3 linked regions of the Notamacropus eugenii genome follow. The protein of the gene in region 3 interacts with the protein of the main gene of each other region in a pairwise test. Links are inferred from orthologs where the notes say so. Each region holds a gene or a part of one and is shown on either strand. Other genes may lie near its edges. The genes, in order: GIGYF1, RAF1 and GRB10.

Evidence for each region.
Region 1: the proteins of GRB10 (region 3) and GIGYF1 interact in a two-hybrid assay, tested with the Homo sapiens proteins (2 studies listed by BioGRID). The link is inferred for Notamacropus eugenii from reciprocal best matches to the Homo sapiens genes GRB10 and GIGYF1.
Region 2: the proteins of GRB10 (region 3) and RAF1 interact in a two-hybrid assay, tested with the Homo sapiens proteins (2 studies listed by BioGRID). The link is inferred for Notamacropus eugenii from reciprocal best matches to the Homo sapiens genes GRB10 and RAF1.

What each region holds. Positions count from the first base shown.
Region 1 is NC_092873.1:80,103,138-80,110,951, forward strand, and holds the start of GIGYF1 (GRB10-interacting GYF protein 1), read left to right. Parts: upstream 1-4,739; 5' UTR 4,740-4,807; intron 4,808-4,942; exon of another isoform or gene 4,943-5,200; intron 5,201-7,814. UniProt on the Homo sapiens protein: May act cooperatively with GRB10 to regulate tyrosine kinase receptor signaling. May increase IGF1 receptor phosphorylation under IGF1 stimulation as well as phosphorylation of IRS1 and SHC1.
Region 2 is NC_092874.1:432,306,354-432,313,626, forward strand, and holds the start of RAF1 (RAF proto-oncogene serine/threonine-protein kinase), read left to right. Parts: upstream 1-4,186; 5' UTR 4,187-4,315; intron 4,316-7,273. UniProt on the Homo sapiens protein: Serine/threonine-protein kinase that acts as a regulatory link between the membrane-associated Ras GTPases and the MAPK/ERK cascade, and this critical regulatory link functions as a switch determining cell fate decisions including proliferation, differentiation, apoptosis, survival and oncogenic transformation.
Region 3 is NC_092874.1:413,605,323-413,612,461, forward strand, and holds the start of GRB10 (growth factor receptor-bound protein 10), read right to left. Parts: upstream 3,103-7,139; 5' UTR 2,968-3,102; intron 1-2,967.

The sequences.
Region 1 (7,814 bases), on a different chromosome or scaffold from region 3:
TCTTTTGGGGTTTTTTTCCTAGTGTGTAGGGAGAGGAGGGAGAGAGCAAGGAAAACAGGAATAGGTTATCCATAAAAAAGAAAAGAATGGAAAGGAAGGAAGGAAATAAGGTCATTGAAACATTTTTAATACACAGAAAAGAATGACAAAATCTAGAAATAAAAACAAGCAAAAGTGTTAAAGCTCATATATCAGATTTATTGTATATTTAAGAAGAAAAATAAGCTGTATGTAGCTCTGGCATCTCTCTCTAAGGGCTAGGTTGCTACTCAGTCGAGCTATTGTTTTCTATTGTCATTGGCTTGAACCCCACCTTCTATATTCTCCCCATTTATTTAAGGGGCCGGTGAATAGTACACTCAGTTCCACTGAAGCACTTAACATCAGATTAGCTTTTAAAAAATATTTATTTCAGATATAAAGCAAGAGCAAATTGACAAACATACTCCTTCATACTACTTCAGTTTCTGGGGTAATAAATTCAAAGTTTAATTCAATTCCCACATAATATCAGTCCCACCAAACTCAGGTCCAGAGGTGCCAGATGAGACCTTGTCTTTGCTACCACCAGTTTGGAATCCTGAAGGTCCCTCCTTATTCTTCATCAGCATAATATTACTGTGGTTGTAAACTTGAATTTCTAACTCCAGAATGTGGAGAGTCTATTGGTTTATACTTGGAGACATATTTTGCTGTAGCTGTGAATCTGAACTCTGGAATAACCAAATCATCGAGGAACCCTTTAAAATTCACAAAGTCATAAGGATCCACTCCTTCATTTGTTGCCAAGCTCCCCAAAAAGTGCTGAGGAAACGAGACAATAACTGAAGCTGACATGTCTTTGCCTCCTCAGCAAATCAAAGAACCTCCTTTTCAACATGCGGTTAGCCAACCAGCAGTTACAGAATGTCTACACATATTCCACAGTCTGTCTCTCCAAGACAGTCTCTTACGCATCATCACAGATCTCTCAGAAGCAGTTCCCTAGTATCTTGATGAGATACCACCTTCTCCTTAGATTCTTCCACATACCATCTAAGGCATTCTAGGCATGTGCCAGATCCTGATTAAATGTACATAACAGAAATCTGAAGTTTCATTTACAGTCCTCTTTTGCTATTCTCCTACGTAGAAAATGAAAATGCCCATTTTATTTGGTGTTATGTTCAGAATAAAAAGAAACCTAGAAAAGGCCAGAAGGAAACAGAAACAACACATTTTTGCAAATTTGTTGAATTTATTATATACTTAAAAGGAAAATGCAAATTATGTATCAATCAATCAATAAACATTTATTAAGCACCTACTATGTACCAGGCACAGTGCTAAGTGTTCTAATCTTTTCATAATAAAGATTTGAGGCTTCATATGCCATGTTCTTTTTCTGCTCTACTTTTTGGTATTTAAATGAAGATAAATTAATTTTTAAAAGAATTTTTAATAAATTAATTAATAAATTTTTAAAAGAATGGACGCCAAAGTCAACGTTTGGCGAGTCCCCCACTACAAATATATTGAATAAATGAATGTTGGAAGACTCAATTCTCTCCTGGATCTCCTCTACCTGTCTGATTTGTCTGACAGTTCTTAGTCTCTTTTTGCTGGATCTTCATTCTAGTCATATCCACATTCAGGTCATGCCCACTAACAATGAAGGTCCCTTAAAGCAATATTCTGGGCCCTCGTATTTTCTCCCTCTAGAAGATCTTGTTTGGTTTTCTCATCAAGTCCCATGGGTTCAACTATCATTTCTATGCCGATGATCCCCAGATCTAACCCTAATCTCTCCACTAAGGTCATCATCAACTCCTTCTTGAGTCTCTCAGCTGGATAGCCCTTAAGCATCCCAAACATTACTGTCCAAAACAGAACTCATTATATCATCTCCCCTACCACTCACACCCAAACCCTCCTTTCCTCATATCTTTCCTGTTACTGTAGAAAACAGTCACTATTCTCATAACTATCCAAGCCTGGTATCATCCTCAACTCCTTATTCACTGTAAACTCCTTAGTGACATCCTCACTCCCCACATATACAATCTGTTGCCAAGTCTTGTCTCTACTACCTTCACAAAATCTCTCCTATATCTTTCCTCTCAAGTCATAGTCACCATCCTGGTGTTAGCCTTCATCCTTTTTCACATGGACTATTGCAATAGCCTTCTGGTTGTTATCTTTGCTTTATGTCTTCACTCAGAAGCCAAGGTGATTTTCCTCCAGCCTAAGTCTATGACAGCCCCCTAGTTAAAAAAAAAGGCTGCTTTCAGGGCTGCTTTCTTCCTCTAGTGTCCACCTGATTCACCTAACTCTCACCTGTGGCTCCACAAAGCTGCAGTACATTGGCCACACCCTGTTAAACTGTTTCGGCAGATAGACTGAACCAGGCTGAGGGGAACTGAGAAGTCGAGGGTGGGTGTGGGGGTAATGTCTACCCTAAGCATGTGAAGACTTCCCCTTGGTGGAATGGGCAGATGAAAACAATTTTTTCCAATGGCCATGAAGGCAGTTGAAGTAGGTGCTGTGGAACACTTGGAGACTAGTTAGACATTGAAGACGGCAAGGTCATCCAATGTATCTCAAGCCATCACCAGTCATCTTGACTCTGTCCTGGAGTGTGAAGACTCTGGAAGAGACAGTGAGGCTGATGACTTCATGCAACTCTGCCTCACTTAAATCCAATTTACACCTTAATCAAAAGACATCACTCAAACCATACCAATGGAAAGTGTGGGAGATAAGAGATATTAGACTGATTACCAAACTGAAGGTCTACAGAGCCATTGTGCTGAACTCATTGTTAAGTGCCTATGAAACCTGGAAAGTCTACCAGCACTATGCCAGAAAACTGAATCACTTCCATTGGAATTGTCTTAGGAAGATTCTGAAGATCACCTAGCAGGATAAGGTACCAGACACTGAGGTCCTTTTTTGAACTAAACTGTCAAGCATTCAAACAGAGATCACAAGTTCAATGGGCTGGCCACACTGTTTAAATGTCAAATGTATGTTTACCAAAAAGACTATTTTATGTAGAATACACATTGCATTGACATCGTGGTCAGAAAAAGTGATACAAGTACACTTTCAAGGTCTCTCTTAAGAACTCTGAAATTGATTGTGTGACACGGGAGACACTAGCAAAAGACTACCCAGCATGGTGTGCCCTCATCAGAAAAGGTTCTGTGCTCTATGAGCAGAACAGAATTCAAGTAGTTCAAAAGAAATGTGAAATGTGCAAGTTTAGAGAATCGACCCCAAATGTTCACATGGACTATTTCTGCCCAAACTGCGGTAGAGCATTCTGATCTCATATTGGTCTGATCAGCCACAGTCAGACATACTGTAACTTGACTCTAGTGATGTCATTTTGGTACTCTTTGATAATGAAGGACAACCCACCAATCCTTCCATGAACCCTATGATCCATCACCACTGGCCTTCTTGCTGTTTCTCCCACAGGACACTGCATCTCCTAATTCTGTGACTTTTCACTGGTTGGCCCTAGTACCTGAAATGTTCTTCCTCATGTCCACCTCCTGACTTCTCAGGCTTCCTTCAAGTCTCAGCTCAAATTCTACCTTCTGCAGGAGGCCCTTCCAGATCTTTACTTCACTTAGCCCCACCCCATTAGTGCCTTCCTTCTGAAATAATTTCCATTTACATCATATATATTGTATGTACAATTGTTTTAATGTTGTTTTCCCCATTAATTCTAATGAATTAAGTGAACTCCTTGAGGGCAGCCATGTTTTTTCCTTTGTCCCCCGGTGCTTGGCACAGCACCTGACATATTAGTAAGTCCTTAATACTTGTTGACTGATAGAATGAATACTTTAATTCAGTAGACTGTGAAAAAGGCCCCATTGCAATACAACAAAGGGCTGATGCTCATGAAATTGACATGAATGTTCTTGAGGTAATCAACTAGCATTTAAACACCTGCTACGCGTCAATTACCAGGCTAACGATACAAAGAAAGGGGAGACAGTTCCTGGTCTCAAGAATCTTCTAGTCTGACCGGGAAACAACTTGCAGAAACAGGATGTGCAAACAAGCCACAGACCCAAGAGATGGCAGAGGGGCAGCTAAGTGTCCAAGTGGACGGAGGGACAGCCCTGGAGTCCGAAGACCCGAGCTCAAATCCAGACGCAGCCACTTACTTAGCTATGTGACCCTGGACAAGTCACTAACCTGCAGCTGCCAATTTCCCCCTCTACAACGGGGATGGTAGCAGAACCTACCTCCCATGGTGGTTGTATCAAATAAGATACTTCTAAAGCGCTTCCCGCAGCCTGAAGCGCTACACAGATGCGTTACTGTGGTCAGTGTTAAAAGTGCCTTTCACATGCATGATCTCATGCGGGCCTCACAATAATAAGCCGGGGAGGGGCGCACTCCCGATTGCCCGTCCCACGCTGCCTCGGGCCGTGGGTGCCCCGGCAGGGCCTGGGGTTTCCCTGCCCTTTTGTGTGTCTGACTGCAAGCGATCCTCGTCCAGCTGCCTCGTGGGTCGCCCGGCCACACCGGACCCCCGGGAGGAGAGATGCGGCTGGACTGCTAATGTTCGAGGTTCGATGACGCCATGAGGCGCCCTGACGTACGTCCGCCAGTCCGTCCGTCCGTCCGTCCATTCGGAGCTGCAGGGCGGGCCGCCTGTCAGGTGCCGGGGGAGCTGGCGCACTTAATTGGGGGAGTAGTAGGAGGGGAGGAGGGGAGGGCGGTATAAAACAACCAAACAAGCCATCCCAACTGGCTCCGGGTCACGTGACGCGCCAGGCTGGGCTCCCCGATCACGTGCCACTCGGTAGGTGCTGCTCCGCGCGCCTACGAGAGCCCCCTTGCGAAGGTGTGTGAGTGTGTGCCGTGTGCGTGTGTCTGCCCGCCCGCGCGGCTCTGTATGTGTGGAGCGGGGCCCGAGGCGGGGGGGCGGGGGTAGTTGTTGCGGGGGGCAGGGGGGTTGGGCGCGGAGCGTTCCCTCGTCACGTGGCGCAAGGCGGGCAGCCATCTTGCTACAAACACAAACACTGAGGAGCGGCTGCAGCGGGAGCGCCAGCGCGCGCCGCCCCCCCTTCGCCTCCCTCCCCTCCCCCCTCGCCGGCCAGTCTGCCGCGCGCCCTAGCCTCGCGCCACCAACGCCCCGGAACTGGAGCCCGAGCCTGGCGCAGCCTGCCCGGGATCGCCCGCCCGCCCACCAGCGGTAAGGAGCGCGTCCGCCCCATCCAGCCCGGCCCGGCTCGGCCGGGGGGCGCCTGGGGCCTACGGGCCGGCGTCCCCACCCCCGGCCCTCCCCCGACCCCGGCAGCCTCTCTCGGGACCCCGGAGGCCGGAGGGGCGGCAGGCCAGAGCGAGGCTCGCTCCCCCTCCCCGCTAGGGCCAACCCCTCTTCCCCTGAGGGCGGGACTGGGCGGGCCAGGCCCCTCCTGCATCTCCGGCTGAACGCCCAACCGCGCGGGGCACCCGCAGCATCCCGGCCTCCCCTGGAGACCCTGCCCCATCGGGGCTGCCCTCCGCTCACCCCACCCCAGCCCCGGCTTTGCGTGGCCACTGGAGCGGGGAGCCCCCGCACCACAGTCTGGGCCCATTGGGGAAGGGTCCCCGAATCTCCTGGGAGGGCGTGCAGTGCGCTACACCGATCTCTCCCCCTCTCCCCACCGCTCTTGTTTAAGAATAACCCCCCCTTTCCATTGTACCCCTGTTTCTTCTCCAGTCAAATAAGGGGGTTGGACTGTAGTCATCCCAATCCCAGCTTTGACATTGTGAGACTTCCCCATGATTGAAGCTCTTCTGAACTCCCCACCACAATATCCTGATATTTCCACAGTGGTTCTGTTTTGGCAATGAAATACATCTCCACACACAGTCAAGATCCCTCACTTTTCTCCTCCTGGGTCATAAGATCCTAGATTTAGAGCTGGAGGGACCTTAATGTTCGTGGGGTCTGACCTGCGTGGCACTGATTCCAAGCCCCCTGCTCGGTCCACTAGACCATGCTGCTGCCTTTATAGTGTCTGGTTTTTCCTCTAAATTTTCTTGTCTGGCAGTGACAAACAGAACAGACACCCTTATGAACTCCATTCTTTCCAGAACTTCAACCTTTCTGCAGAGCTCTCAAAAATCCCAGGATTCTGCTTTCATAGGACACATTTAGATAGCACATAAAGATTTACCGAGCAAGACCATCTTTATAGAGACTATCTCAGTAAATTGTTTGAATTTCTGTCAAAAGAATCCCCTCCTAAATCGCTTTTAATTTACCCCTCATAAAGAGAGCCTAACTTAAAGATCATCTCAACCTCATCATCCCTTGCAACTTTATGTCTATACTCCTGTGCATTCATCTGCTAGAGGCATTAGATCTTTTTAGATAAACAGTAAAAACTTGGTATAGTATAAGTGAATCTTAGCTGTGCTACTTTCTATTTGTGTTACCTTAGGTAAGTCACTTACTATCTCTGGACCTCTGTTTTGTCATCTGTATCATGAAAGTACAAAAAGATTATTTCTAAGGTTCATATGATTTTGTGAACATAGTTACTCTCCCAGTGTTACCCTTTAACTGATTTACCACTAGATGTAATACCCCAGCTCTTGTTTCTCTTTCAGAATAAGCCACCTGTCTTGATTTATGCAAGTATGAATAGGTTGAGGAATGTTTGAAGGGTTTGCTCTGGTAGTGTTTGATTAGGTTTAATCATGTCACACAGGAGCCTTGTTTAGCTGAGAAATCAAGGTCTTCAGGGTACTTGGTGATGATTGGAGACTCTAGAGAATCAAGAGTTTGGGCTACCTGAGACATATCTGAGAGTGTGTGGGAATTGATGGACTTGAAATCCTTAGGGAAACTGAATTCTTGGATTATATCCCTGTGACTGTTCCTCAGACTGTATACTAGAATTTTTTGTACCAATGAGTTCCTAGAAATAATAATATAAAAATGTAAGTAACTGAGAAGGAAGGGATTGGGGAGGGCTTCTAAGTGGTGCATTGAACCTTTGCCTGACTTTGGAAGTAAAGTGAGGAAAAACAATCCAACAGTTAAAATTTTGGAAACTAAAGTATTCCTAGGAATTAGGGATGATGAGAAGAGTTGCAGTTGATATAAAGTCTTCCTCAGCCTCTATCTAGGGACAGGAATCCTTGTTTTATGGAGCAACAACTGTCCCTTAGCACAGTGTTTTGTGTGTGGTGAGCAACTAATAAATACTTTTAATTCATTCAGATCCCATCAACTTGGAGGAATCAGTAAAAGAGCTCAAATAAAATGAAAGGATGTGAAAGCGCTTCAGCATTGGCAAATGTGAATGACATATTAGTGGTTTTAGGAAGTAGAAATAGGGACCAGAGATGCTTACTCTCTAAATAGACTGCCTCCTTTTCTAAACGAGAAACTTTTCAGCCAGATAGGAGAAAGGTCTTTTTGAAATAGGGGGAATTTTGAAGACCCAAGCAGAGATAGCTACTTTGGATATTGGAGATCTGAGTGAGATTTTTCTGTCCATCACTTATGACTGGAGCTAAATTTGGAGTATTGGGAAGAAAGTACTTCAAGGATCTAGAATCTTATTAGTTTGCAGTCCTTCCTCCACCAATGCAGATTTTAACCTACTTTGTGACTTAATTATTTGCAAAAGAAGATATTACCTTGTGGGTGACTTGGTGATGAACCTCTGCCACTGGGCCAGGCTTGCCCTCACACAATACATACAGTCTGACAGAGCTTGTGCTTTGCTAGTATTGCTTTCAAGAACCTGGGAACACCAAGGTGTTCATACTATGTATGATGAGGCACTGACACAGAACTTTGCTAGACA
Region 2 (7,273 bases), about 19 Mb from region 3:
CTTAGAGATCATGTAGTGCTGACCCTTTATTTCAGTAGATGAAGGAAATCAGAGCCAGAGAGCACAGGTGACAGATATAAGGTCATACAAGTTGCAGAGCCACACTTATAACCTTGGCTTTCAGTGGAAAGATGCAATTGCGGAGTCAGAGGACTTGGGTTCAAATCCTACCTCTGATCTTTGTGACTTTATACAAGTTACTTAACTTCCCTGGGCCTCAACGTACTAATCTATAAAAATGGGGTCAGTGTAGAGGATGAAAGAAATCATACAATGTGGTCTCTGATGTCCTTCCTAGGTCTACGCCCATAACCCTATATCTCTACCCTGCTGCCTCTTCTGGTCATCTTTCTTCCTAAAACAGAATCCATTGCTGTCATATGGTCCTCTCACTTATGAGTAAGTATTGTTTAACTTTCTTCACAAGTCTGATGATACAATCTTCTGTCCTCAATCCGCTTTATTCACAAAGCAATGCAGTTACACCTTAAACTTCACTACTATCTGGGACTGTGCTACCTCCCAAGATGCCAAACTCCAAAGCTATTCCTTAATTCCAATGCCATTTTTCTTACTTCTCTCTCATTCCTTCTCATTCCATCTGATTTCTGTCTTCACCCTGATTTCCAATCAGTTAATCATTCAATAAACAGAGTCCATCGCCAGTGTCACTTGCCAGTCCTGACCCCTTCTTTGCCAGTGACTTCAAAGATCTTGGTTTGCCCTTCTAATCCTCCCTGGGTCATTTCCACCATTCCGTTCTTCCCTCTGAACTTGACCCTGGGGGGCTGAATATGCACAGAGAAAGTCACCATATCAAACTTATTGGAAAATAGTTGAATTCATATGGTATATGAATGTGTGAGGACAGGGCATTTTTGTCTTTTATTCCACAGTAGCTGGCACACAATAAGCACTTAACTGATTGACTTGTTCTGTTTGACAACTGAGATAACAGTGAGAGCAAACAGCAGATTTAGGCTTGACCTAAGGAAAACTTTCCTAGCACACTGGAACTATCCAAGAGTTGAATGGCTTGTCTTGGAAGGTAGTGGGTCATCACTTGAGGTCTCTAAGGAAAAACACCCTTGTCAGGTGTTTGTATTTGAGTCATTTCAGTCATGTCCAACTCTTTGTGATCCCATGTGGAGTTTTTGTGGGAAAGATACTGGTTTGTCATTTCCTTTTCTAGCTCATTTTCCAAATGAGGAAACTGAGGCAAACAGGGTTAAGTGACTTGCCCAAGGTCACACCCATAGTAAGGGTCTAAGCCTAGATTTAAACTCAGATCTTCCTGACTCCAAGGCTAGCACCCTATCCACTGGACCACCTAGATGCCCCAAGTGTATTGGATCTTTCTTCAGGTGCTGGTAGGACAAGGTGATCTTTCCAAACATGAAATTTTCTGATCCTGGGCAGAGAACTGGATTTAAGGAAATAGTGTGGTGAGAAGAAAACAGGGCACGCAGATGAGGCATGGGAAAGGGATTTGCTGAAAAAACAGAATCCTATGTATTTTAAAATGGGAAATTAAAAGAAGCAGCACCATAAGGAGAGTTTGGAGGGAGGGGACAGACTGGCGCACCCAGTAAATAGATAAGGCCACACCTGGGGCAACAGACACCTACACACAACTGACCCCAATGTTTCCTATGGAGCTCTGCCTGGTTAAGCTGTGTTGTCTAATAATCTTTTAAGACTGGCAGCAGCCCCAGCCTCTATTCAGGTGGCAATTCTCCTGGAAACTTCAAAGTGCTTTGGGCAGGAAAGAAAAAACACAAAAACTGGGCGGGGATCAGTTTAAGGGGGGAAGAAGAATCCTTTAAACATCTGTGCCCACTGCTCTCCAAGAAAACAACTGAAGTTTATAAAGCCTTTAAGATTTACAAAGTTCTGTATATATCCTGAATTCAATAGAGATCTGAACCACAACTCTGTGAGGTAAGTAATACAGATATCATCCTCCTTAATTCATCAATCAGTAATTAGGATTGTGAATCTCAGAAAAGGGAAATAGGATGCATATAGCTAGTCTTGGTGGGAAGGGTCTGATCCTCAATCTCTAAGTGACACAGGGCTCTAAGATAACAGTCTTCTCATTCACTTTCAAGACACACCCTTGCCCTGAAGCCCCCCTTTACTACATTAGGCCAATTACAGCCTTAGTTTACAACAAACTAACGTTTGTCCAAGGCTAACTCCTAATTGTTGGGGATACAAAGACAGCTAAGTCACTGAACCTGCTCCTGAGGAGCTTACAACCAAATGTGGGTGTAAAGACAAAAATGACTGTAAGAGAGAATGACTAATTGCAAAAAAGAGGTCCAGGGAGTCTCATGATAAATTTAAGTAGGAAGAAATCACCTCCTCAGCATGGGGGGCAGGGAGTAAGGAAAAGGAAAAGATTAAGGGAAGTGCCAGAGATAAAGCTGCTGCTTCACATTTGTTTCTCCAAACTGTAAACTCCTTAAAGGCTTGGGAAAGACATAATTATTTAGTAGCATCTATATTTGCAAAGGATTTTGAACATATTTTTTCACTGAATCTTCACAACACTCTGAGGTGGGTGGTATTATTATCCCATCTTCTGGATGGGGAAACTGAGGTGTGGAGTAGTGAGATGAGCTGGCGATACAGGAGAAGAGCTCGGGTGCCCTTGAATTCAGGCCCAGTGTTCTCTCTACACACTAGGGTCCCTGGCTGCTTAAGGAGCCTCACAGACTTGGAGCCAGAAGCGGCCTCGGGGGCTACCTGGCCCGAGGTCTGCATTTCACAGGGAGGCAGGAGGTGTTTCAGAGTCCCACGGGCAGGGAGTCCCAAGGCTGAGAACTGAACCTAGGCCCTCTGACTTCAAAGGAGGCTTAAAAAAAGCACGGCCCTACAGTCCTGGTTCTTGGAGTCTTTCATAACGTCCAGGAACAAATTCTACGAGAAATACCAGAACAGACCGTCCTGGCAAGCTGGTCAGCCCAAGTCCGGCGGCCACGCGTGCGGCTGCACCCAGGCTGGCTGGCGGGGGGCACGTCCTGTATGCCAGGACAGGCGAACACTGGGGTCTTCGGCGTCAGAGGGTCTGGGTGCCAATCCCCTCGTGTCCTCTCCCCGGTAAAAGGCTGGGGGCCCTTCAGCTCTGCACGTGGCCCGAGGCCGCTGGGCGTCCCCAGGATGACCTTGGAGTCAGAAGACCCGAGTCCAAAGCCTGCCTCCGACACCGTCCCGTCCGCGCCAGGGCTGCGCACGCGCCGGCGATCACCACCGTCCGGGACTGCTGCCCTGCCGGAGAAGTCGGGGTAACAGCACCTCCCTTGCGGGAGCCGAGGTCCAACGGGGCGACCTACTAAGCGCTCTGCAAGCCTCGAAGGGTGGCGTAGACGCTGCCCGTCAGCATCCCGTCTGCCTCAGGGTGCTCCTCCGGGAAGTGAGCTTCGCTGCGAGGGGCAGAGGGGCCGTGCACAGAGCGGCATGGCTGCGGTCACCGCGGCGGTCACGCAGCTTTCCGCGTGGAGCTGTGCGGCCCCCCGGCCCTTCCCGGAGCCTCAGTTTCCCCAGCTGTAAAAAGGGCGCCGTCTACGGGGGAGGGAGCTCGCCTGGGACCCCCGCGGCGTCGTGGCCCGCAGCGGTCCATCCTCTCCGCGGGAGCTGCCGGCCTCGGCCCTCGGGGCGCCCCGGTCCCCGGTTCCCGGCCTCGGTCCCGGGGCTCGCCCGCTCGCCCGCCCGCTCGCCCGCCCGCTCGCTAGCAGTTCGAAATGGCGGCCGCAGGCGCGCCGAGGCCCCGCCTCCAGGGGCGGGGCCTGAGCCAGGGAAGAGGGAACGATACCGGAGCCGATGAATGGGCGCCTGGGCCGTGCCGGCGGCGGGGGCCGCGGTAGGTGGGGGCGGCGCGGGGGAGGCGCCGCAGGTTAGGCCGAGGAGCGCCGAGCCTCCTCGTCGCGGACGCTGAGGCCGCCATTTTAGATGGAGGCAGCGAGCCGCCGCCAGCAGTGAGGAAGCGAGCGCGAGCGGGCGCCGGAGCGAGAGCGCGAGCGTGGGCGCCGCGGCGGGCAGAGAGCGCCCCTCCACGGGCTCGGCCGGGCCGGGACGGCGGCGGCGGGCGGCCCGGGCCCTCGACTCTGCGGCGGCCGGCGGGCGGGCCCCTGCCCGGGGACGATGCGGGGGCCGCCCGGGGCCCCCTCCCCCGGGCTGGGGACGCGCCGCCGCTGATCGGGCCTGGGCGCTGGGCGCACTCGACGCGCCGCCGCTGCCGCCTCGGCCCGGGCCGCGGGCACGCACGGGACGGGGCGAGACGGGACGCACGCGGCGCGCACCGGCCCCGCAGGTAGGCTGCCGAGCCGGCTCAGCCCGGCAGGCGAGAGCGGGGCCTCCGGCCCGGCGCGGCTCCTCGCCTGAGGAGGCCGCGGCCCTTCCGGGGAACGCGGGCCAAGGGAGACGGGCACAGCCCGCCGAGCCTCGGCCGGGCAGCGCCGGAAAGGGCCCTGAGCCCTTCCCGTCACAGATGAGGAAACTGAGGCCGGGAGTGGGGGTGGTTCATAGATGTAGAGATGCCAGAAACCCTCCCCCCTTACGTCCCGATGAGGAAACGGAGGCCCTGGGATGGGGGCCATCGTAGATCTGGAGCGTAGAAGGGACCCCCGACGCCTCCTCCCTGTGGAGGCCGGGAAGGCGATCGGGGAAGTGACATCTGCGAGTCGGCAGACGCTGAGGCTCGGGGTGCGAGGCCAGCCTGGCAGCCCCGAGTTTTGGTAAACACTGAGGAAGGCTTCCCAGAGCGAAGTCGGTGTCAGGAGCAATGGGACCTTTGCGGTGCAGCTGGAGACGGGGAGAGACCCTGGGCTCCTGGCGGCGCCTCTCCCTTCAGCAGTCCTGTCCCCCCCTCTCTCCCCAGGGTTTTTTATTTGGGGGGGGGGCCGGGTGGGTGAAAATGGGGAGGAGGAGAAAATCCTGAGTTCTCCTTGTGTGCGTGTGGTCGGGCGAGTGGAATAGTTAAGAGAACCTGTGTTCTTTTGCGCTGAAGAGGATGCTTTTGCCTGGTGAAAATGGATCGAGGGCTTGGTAGTTTTTGGAGAAAGGAACTGGGGCTGACTTTGCTGAAAGTAAGTAAATTAATGCTATTCTAAAGCGAAGGCGGTGTTGTAAGAAACTCATTTGCAAAAGGCTTGGGAAACATTGGTCCTGGAGTGTGAGCTAAGCTTTGCGTTCTTCGTGAAGAGATTCTTTCTCCATTCCTTCTCGTTTATTTCATACATCACTTGGTCAGTTTCCTTTTGTGGACATAATGTTAGCAGGACACGGGCAGATTCTTGGGTGTATGACCAGCTGCATAGGGCAGTCCCGGCGTATGGTAAACATAGACTGGGGTCCTATGGAAATTAGTTTATTTTAGTGTTTGTCCCTTTAAATGAGAATTATCTTTTCTGTTTGAGAACCAGATTTCTTTTGTGCTCTCCATGCTGAAACTGGTAAACTTTTGAAATGGCGGTTTTTATCATAGCAAAACAATATTAGTTGTTTCTTCCTTGTTACTTGGTTACGTGGGATTTCAGGTTGTGTATTCTGTACTTAGGCAGTAATGAGTAATGTTCTCTTAGGCCTTGTTTTTTATAGGTTGCCTTAAAAACAAAAGGGTAGATTGTAAAATGTAGTTCAGACTAATTTTTAGTGTTCTAGTTGTGTATGTTAGTATATGTTGGAAACGGTTGGGCAGCATCTAAACATGCAAGATGAAATCTGAGGATTGTGGACGGTAGAGAACTTGGAAAAAGACAGTTAACTCCCCCACCTGGAAACACACACTTAACAACAATAACAGTACCCATGTTGTTTGCCCTTGGTTCACGAAGGACCATGACATCAGAAAGGTGATTCCATGACGTCTGAGTGAGTTATAGTGGCCGTATCCAAGGTTAAGTGTGCAATTGAATTTTTTCTTAACCTTGAAATGCATTCGTTTTCTAATTAAAATCATTTTTACACACAAAAGGTTTTCATATCCACAAGTTTGTTAGAACAGCACTAATGCTCTTGTATTGACTGTGGTGACAATGTTCCTTTATTACAGTAATTTCTAAGTCATACTGTTTTGGTATGTAATGCATATACAATTAAGTCAGAGGCTGATATTTAATATCTCTAATGCTAGTCGGGTTGTTTTGAAATGGAAACAATTGTTTCATTTGAAGGCTAATACTAGGGGAGAATAGACTTGTTACTGTTTTTGTTTAGAACTTGTCTAATTAGGTACACAGGGGTTTATCATTGTCAGTTAGTGGAGACATGTTTGTGTTTTCCAGGAGGGAACTATTTTATGTTTCACTACCTCGGAGCATTCTCTCAAATTAACATTTAAAATAGAAGATCTTTGCGAAATTCACCAAAAAAAAGTTTACTGGGTGTGGTTTAATATAACTCAGGGTTAGGAGGGACTGGGTCACTGGAGAACAACAATATTTGGGTTCATAATTGAAACCTCAGACTCATATCAGAAGTTGATTGCTTTTGTAGTTTAAAACAAAGTATGAAATCTGGAGTATTAAATATTAGGGTAAATATAAAGATTGAATTTTCACTCCTAAGTTGTTTTCCTTGAAGCTTCTTTGAATCTGAAAGCTTTCTGGAGTTATGTTTCTTGAAGGCAAAATTTTGTTAATCTTTATCCCCTGTAACTCTCAACTCAGTATCTGTGTTCTAGTGAAATAATTCAATTTGGTTTAATTTTACTCTTTATGAAATAGAATCATAGATTGTTTAAATTTTTTAAAAAGCTCTATTCTATGCAGTTAATATTACAAGCTGTTTCTGCAGAAATTAAGAAATTAAGCAGAATAATTTTTATGTGTGATTAAGTTTTATGTGTGATTTGCAATTATATGGCCTCATAGTATTTTACTTTGGTAATGTATCATTTAATGGCAGAAAAACTGCTTGAGGTGGATTTCATTTAACAGTATTATAGACACCTTGGGAGTAGGTCTTTAGCTAAACATCATTGTATACCTTAGTGCGGACTTAAATTTCTTATCCTAATGATTGTTATTGAAAGATGGTAGATTAATTTGTCAGTCATTGGAAGTGTGGAAAGGGTATAACTGAGAAGCTTAAACATTAAAATGTTTTAAATAGACTTACAAAAGTTCTGTTCATAGGAGTGAAAATCTTCAAAGCAAAAGTCTTCAGATTTAAAAACTGAATTGCTCCAGTGCATTTGGAAGGATGGGGTTTGAGCCTACACTGCCCAAGGTGGTGGTAATGGGGGAGGCAAGAAAAGGACCTTGAACTG
Region 3 (7,139 bases):
TGCAAACTTCATTCGAAGGGGGCATGAAAAGAGAGCTCAAGTTTTCTACAGACAGATGGAGGGTTCCTAACACACTGGCAACTTAAACAGTCTCCAAAATAAACTAAAATGTATTCTCCCAAGCACTCTCCCTTTCTCCCCCTGCAGCTAGAGTTGGACAGAATATACAGGAAGTGGGTTGTTCTTTAATTATGCCAACTTTGAAATCAGCAAATACACTTTATCAGTTATGCAAACTAAGAATTTTACAGGTCTAAGATGAAGGGGAAAGTACAATAGACTTCTTTGTTCAAGTCAGGATATGGTTTCTATAGGTTGTAAATACTCAAGGCCTGCTTGAGCATCAGTATGAAGTCTCCTGGTTGGGCTTCATTTTTTTAAAAATTGTGTGGCCTCCTTCTTCCAACTTCCAAATAATTTAGTTATATCATCATGCCTCACTATATTCTGACTCTCTGTAATTTGGCGTTTCAGAGAGATTTTGTTTCCCTATTCAGTATTACTCATCCTCCTATCTTTAGTTTGCTGGGGGCTTTTTTCTCCCCCTCTCTCTCAACCTGTCCTTATAATTCACCCCCTTTAATCCTGGGATTAGCCTGGTTACTCTTCTCTTTCAAGTACTCAAAGTACAACTGGGACATAAGTTCAATAAGCCCCCAGTTTTATTATTTTTTTTAAACAGGAAAAAAAACCTAGCCCTCTAGACTCACTGGTGCAAAGATTTAAATTTGCTTTTAGAGGCTTACTCTTAACTACTAAAAAAAAAAAAAAGGCACTTCCCTTTAAGAAGAATTTTTTTAAACCAGTTTCAATGGCCACAATTTCCACTACTTCTTACCAGATGCAAAACTCCCTTATTTTTCTCATTTGGAAGGTGAGCGGGTGACTTTACTCAAATGAAGGATGAAAAAAAAAAGCCCTTACATGGCAATGTCAGGCTCAGAGTTTTGTTGCCATACTAACAACATATGTTCCTAGTACAACAAATCAAAACATTTTAAACAGTACCACTAGCAGACATAAAGCGGTGCTCCCAACTGCTGAATCAGCATTTTCAAGCCCGAAGTTTCAGACAGCTTTAAAACAGCAATAAAGAGAAGGTGGGGGCCATAACACACGTGGATTTGCAAACATACTTTTGCCAGAGTTGGACTTTTTTTTTTGCTTGGGGGGGGTACCTCTTACATAAGGTCTGGAACTCGGTTTGTAATAAAAATAAGACTTTAAAAACACATTGTAGAGAAAAATGCTCACTGTTTATTGCTAAAGTTCAACATTCTTTGATTTCGAACACATCTCGATGGTGTAAAAGTCACTTGTGGCTCCTCAAAGTTTGTTAAAAAAAACAGTTTGGTGAGCCACTGTCCTCCCTCTCAAAATCTAGTTGCCATTTGCATAGTGGCCGGCGAGCTCCAGCGGCCGTGAGGGGAGAGAGAGGGAGAGAGGGAGAGGGGGAGAGAGGGAAAGGGAGAGGAAGAGGGAGAGGAAGGGGGGAGAAAGAGAGAGAGAGAGACAGAGAGAGAGAGAGAAAGAGAAAGAAAGAGAGGGGGGAGAGAGAGAGAGAGAGGGAGGGAAGAAAGAGAGAGAGAGAGAGGAGAGAGAGAGAGGGAGAGAGAGAGAGGCAGGGGTTTGGAGACGCAATTACCAAAGGCAGTGAATTGCATCAGAAATGTCCTTCTCCAAAGCAGCCCCACTCCAAGCCTGCTCCCACGGCTGGCAGTTAAACCAGGCATCGAGCCGCATCTTTGTACCTTACCTCCTCCGGCCCTGAGTGCCATGAAACTTCTTGAAAAGCTGGCCTGGGGAGACGGAGGGGGAGGGGAAGGGGAAAGGGGGGCAAGTGAGGGTTCTCAACTTCTTGAGCTTCTTTCCAAGAACTCGAATACTAACGCGCGCGGTCACACACACACACACACATCCATCTCCCCCCCAAACATACATGTGTGTGATCCACACGCACAGGGTTCGGAATACACAGCGGTCAGGAAAACAAATACAGATGCAAAAATGTCACCTCCTTCCCTTCCCCTTCCCCCCATGCAGACATAGACACAGAGATGGAATACACATAATAAGCAAACGGTGAGAGATAGACAAGTCAAGACAGTAAATACAGATGCAAAGATGCCCCCCCCTTGCCCCCTCCTCTTTCCAGTGGAGTGTAGACCAAGGACCGGAATCACAGTTCGGGGCTGGGGTGGGGGGGTGTGTGTGGAGAGAACAATTACACCCCGGCGGCAGCCGCCCTCACTCTTCCTCTCTCCATAGCTCCCATAGCCTCCCAGCCTGGCCAATCTACCCCTCCCCATGCCGCCCGTATATGCTTTTTTCTTCCCGCCCCCCTTCTTGGGGAGAGGAGGGGTGCCTCACTTGTGACCAGCCCGCAGAAGAAGGCGAGCAGGCTCCACACTCCCCAAGGGGTCGGGAGGAGAGCGGTGGGCGGCGCGGACAGGAGGCTAGCAGGCCGGCGGGCCATGCCCCCGGGCCGGGCGGGGCTGCGGAGCAGCTAGCCCCGATCCGGTTCCCCTCGGCTCCGGGAGCAGCCCCAGCCCCGAGCTCCGTCGGGCTGGGGGGCTGGCTCCGCGGACCAGCCTCCGGGAGGCGCGATGGGCGGCCGCCTTCCCCCGGCGGCTTCTGCCAGCTCCGGGCCGCACTCGGCCCGGGGCCAGGCCGGGACAGAAGGGGCTGCAGAAAACAACTTTCCCTGCGTTCGCTCCTCCACACAGGGACTACACCAGCTCCCCAACCCGAGGAGGAAAAGGACCGACGGGTCCTGGGGGTCCTCGGGGCGCTTGGCAATCGCCTCCCCCACCTTCCTCCTCGGCCCCCCCCCAAAAAAAACTTCTGCAAGCTGGGTGAGAGGGGCGAGGTCGAGGACGGAGGTTGTACCCAGACGGGCGGAAGCCGCTAGGAACCCCGGCTTGCTCTCTCCGGCGTGCATGCCTGCCTGCATGCCTGCATGCCTACCTGCTGCTGCCGGCGGTGCCGTTCGCCGCTGCCTCCCTCCTCTTCCTCCTCGGGGCCGCCCCGGGCCCCCTCCCTGCTCACAGCCGGCTCCGGGGTCCCCCTGATCCGAGCTTTCGCGCGGGGGTCGGTGGCGAGCTGCACGGATTCGAGGCAGAAGGCAGAGGGAAGGGGGGTGGGGTGGGAAAGCAGGACCGGGTACTCCCGTAGTTGCCCAGTCGGTCCGCAGAAGACTCGCACGCCCGTGCACGTAGTCGGCCGCCCAAGGATTTTCAAGAAAACTTCTGCGGCTTCGCCGTCACAATCGCCGCCGCCGGAGTCTCCCCCTCCCCTTCCCTCTCTCCTTCTCCCTTTCTTTCTCTCCTCCTCCCGCCGCTGGAGCTCCTGGGGATCGGGCGGCTGCTGCTGCTGCTGCTGCCGCCGCCGCCGCTGCCGCCTGCGATCCTCCTCCTCCTCCGAGGACCGGGATCCGCGGCTCTCACAGCGAGAGGCTCAGCTGACTCCAGCCCCAGATCTATCACCCCCTTCCCGGGCTCCCTCACTTCCCCCACCCCCTTTAATGGGCTTTAAACCCGGCCGGCCCCGCCTTCTTCTCCTCCGCCCCCTCCTCCCGGTCCCTCCTACCTCTCCTCCTTTTCCAACTCCTTCTCCTCCGCCTCCTCTGGTTACTGCTCCTACTGCTGCCGCTGCTGCTGCTGCTTGTGCTGCTGCTGCTGCTCGTGCTGCTGCGCCTGCTGCTGCTGCTGCTGCTGCTGCTTGTGCTGCTGCTGCTGCTCGTGCTGCTGCTCCTACTGCTGCCGCTGCTGCTGCTGCTGCTGCTTGTGCTGCTGCTGCTGCTCGTGCTGCTGCGCCTGCTGCTGCGCCTGCTGCTGCTGCTGCTGCTGCGCCTGCTGCTGCTGCTGCTCCTGCTGCTTCTGCTCCTGCTGCTGCGCCTGCTGCTGCTGCGCCTGCTGCTGCTGCGCCTGCTGCTGCTGCTGCTCCTGCTGCTTCTGCTCCTGCTGCTGCGCCTGCTGCTGCTGCGCCTGCTGCTGCTGCACCTGCTGCTGCTCCTGCTGCTGCTGCTCGTGCTGCTGCTGCGCCTGCTGCTGCTGCTGCGCCTGCTGCTGCTGCGCCTGCTGCTGCTGCGCCTGCTGCTGCGCCTGCTGCTGCTGCTCCTGCTGCTGCTGCGCCTGCTGCTGCTGCACCTGCTGCTGCTCCTGCTGCTGCTGCTCGTGCTGCTGCTGCGCCTGCTGCTGCTCGTGCTGCTGCTGCGCCTGCTGCTGCTGCTGCGCCTGCTGCTGCTGCGCCTGCTGCTGCTTCTGCTCCTGCTGCTGCTCCTGCTGCTCCTGCTGCTGCTGCGCCTGCTGCTGCTGCTCGTGCTGCTGCTGCGCCTGCTGCTGCTGCTGCACCTGCTGCTGCTGCGCCTGCTGCTGCTGCTTCTGCTCCTGCTGCTGCTCCTGCTGCTGCTGCTGCGCCTGCTGCTGCTGCTGCGCCTGCTGCTGCGCCTGCTGCTGCTGCGCTTGCTGCTGTGCCTGCTGCTGCTGCAGTGACCAGGCTCCCACCACGCTGGGTCCCCACCAGCCACGGCTGCTATCTGGAGCCCCAGGGGTGTCTGGATGGAGATGAGGAGGGACCAGAAGGCCTGTTGGGCACTTTCTTCAAGACTAGGAACCTAGCAAGAGTCACAGATCAGGCCCAGAAAGAGGCAGCTGTTGAAAGGCTAAAACATAACAAAGTTTTTCTACCATCTCTTTTCTCCCAAAAACCCAAATTTGGAGAGAGAAGCAGCTCCCTTGTTTGCAAGCCAGAGAGAGGCAGGGCCGGAGCACGTGAGCACCGAGGTAAAAGATGAGTTGTCCCTAGTTAACAAACTGTTTTCCAAAACTTGGTAAATCGATTAATTGGAACTATCTTCCCATAAAAGCAAGATTATATACACTGGTTAGGATCCCAGGTGAATCTATAAAAAGCCCATTTAATCCAGTTTGTATCTGAGTGAGGGGCTATACATAGCTCCAGTTAGTTAAGCTGTACGCAAGGGAGGGCAATGTCTGGTATGAGAAAAGGCTGGAAAAAGTTCACAGCTCTGTCTTTCCTCTGGCAAATTCCTTAGGAACATAGGGACACAGCTTTTAAAAAATGGAAGGAACTCTAAAAGACCAGGGATACTTAACCTGGGATAGCTTTCAGGAGGTCCATGAACTAGGATGGAAAAAAAACGAACTACATCTTTATTTTTACTAATCTCTACTCAAAAAGGGAACATTTTCTTCAATTATAAATTCCAAACACCAACATTCTGAGAAGGGATCTCACCAGACTGGCAAAAGGACCTATGCTACAGATCTAATTAATTCCAAATCTACCACTCCTCTAAGCTCTGCTTAGCTACCAAGGCTGCCACTTACTTATTCTAGGTCTCACTTTCCAGTTGAACATAAATTACTTATGGGTGGGGACTTCTCATTTTTATTCTTTGTAGCTCCATCACAGAGCATTTGCCCCATGAAAGCCTGTAAAAAGGGAGGTTTGGACCATTACAGTTTTAAAATATTTTAACACCTCTATTTCAATAATTAGCTCTTTTTAAATCAGGGACCCTAAGGTCCACTTGGTTCCTTCCTCTTCCACTTTATGAAGTTTGTTTTGGATTTTTTTTTTAAACAAAGTTCTGGGTTAAGTCGAAGTTGTTCTGAGTTCCCAGTTAGCAAAATTCCTAACACCTATTCAGAAGTTGGGATCTCTGCCCGATCTTATATTTATATTTGTCTCTAGTTAACTCCAGGCCTCTTTGTGGTGGAATCAAAATTCAGTTTACAGGGAACCTTTAGGTAATGAAACAGCAGATTTTATTGTAGTGTCTGTGGATAGACAGGAAGGGAAGGTGCTGGCCTTTTCTGGGTATTTCTCTCACTAGTGACTCTCCTCCATATTCTCTGCCACAGCTCAGTCCTCTCTTCCCTCTTCAAAGAAAATACTATGGCCTGATTCAACTTCTTGAATCCAGATACCCAGAATCCCTTCCCCAGGTTCTAAGATAGTTTCTTGCTTTTACACAAATTGCCTTTCACATAAAGGCATTGTACAGGTTCTGTTCACATTGGGTTTCATTTGTATTGATCAGAAAGTATGCTCACCTAGTCAAGGCACCAGAACCGAAATGGAGTGGTTTCGACCACACCCTTACAATAATATTATGAATTTATACCTCTGCAAGAAAAAGTTCCTCTCTAGGTCAACAATACACCAAGGTGTTTTAAATTGGTGGGGAGAGAAAGGTAGAGACTGACTTAGATTCTCCTTGGACTATTGACTTGACGCTGGTACTGCCTGTGCATGTATTGGCTTCTTTCTAAGTTAAGCGCTCACAAGTTGGGGACAGGCTGTAAAGCTAAACTGCGTATTTGTTGGCTTGCATATACTTAGACTGCCTTTGGTTTCCTCTCACTGCTGTTGGAAGTTAGCTAGACTAACACTCCCTTAACACTGGCAGATGGTAAAACAAACTTCCTTTCCACACTCACACATAACTCTGACATGAATAGAAATGCCCTTGGATGGGAAGTTAAGGCCTTGGAACCAGATCCCTGAATGCTTCTGTCTTAACAATTCAATGTACTGTGCAGTACATCCCAGTTGCAAGCCTTGGGAGGGAATCGTAATGACCATGGGAAGACACCTTTGGATGACAGCAGTTCAGATGTATAGAGGGCATTCAGGTTTGCAAAGCCCTGTCCTCATAGCAACGCTGAGATCTGTAGCTTGAAGACAAAGGGATAAAACTGGCTGTCCAGTCATGTCCAATTCTTTGTGACACCATTTAGGGTTTTCTTGGCAAAGATATTGGAGTGGTTTGTTATTTCTTTCTCTAGCTCATTTTACAGATGAAATTGAGGCAAACAGGCTTAAGTGAATTGCCCAGGGTTACACAGCTAGTAAGTTTTGAGACCAAATTTAAACTCAGGTCTTCCTGAGTCTAGGCCCAGTTGTATCACTTAGCTGCCCTGATAAAACTAGGCAGAAAGACTAAACCAGAGATTGAGCTGAAATGCTAGCTTTGGCACTAACTAGCTATGTGACTGGAAGAATCAGATTATTTCTTTGAACATCCTTTTCCTCATCTGTAGAATGGGGGGGGAGGGGTTAGACCTGGGTAGGGGGCAAGGTGGACAAGATTAAGGGTATAACACTGGGGA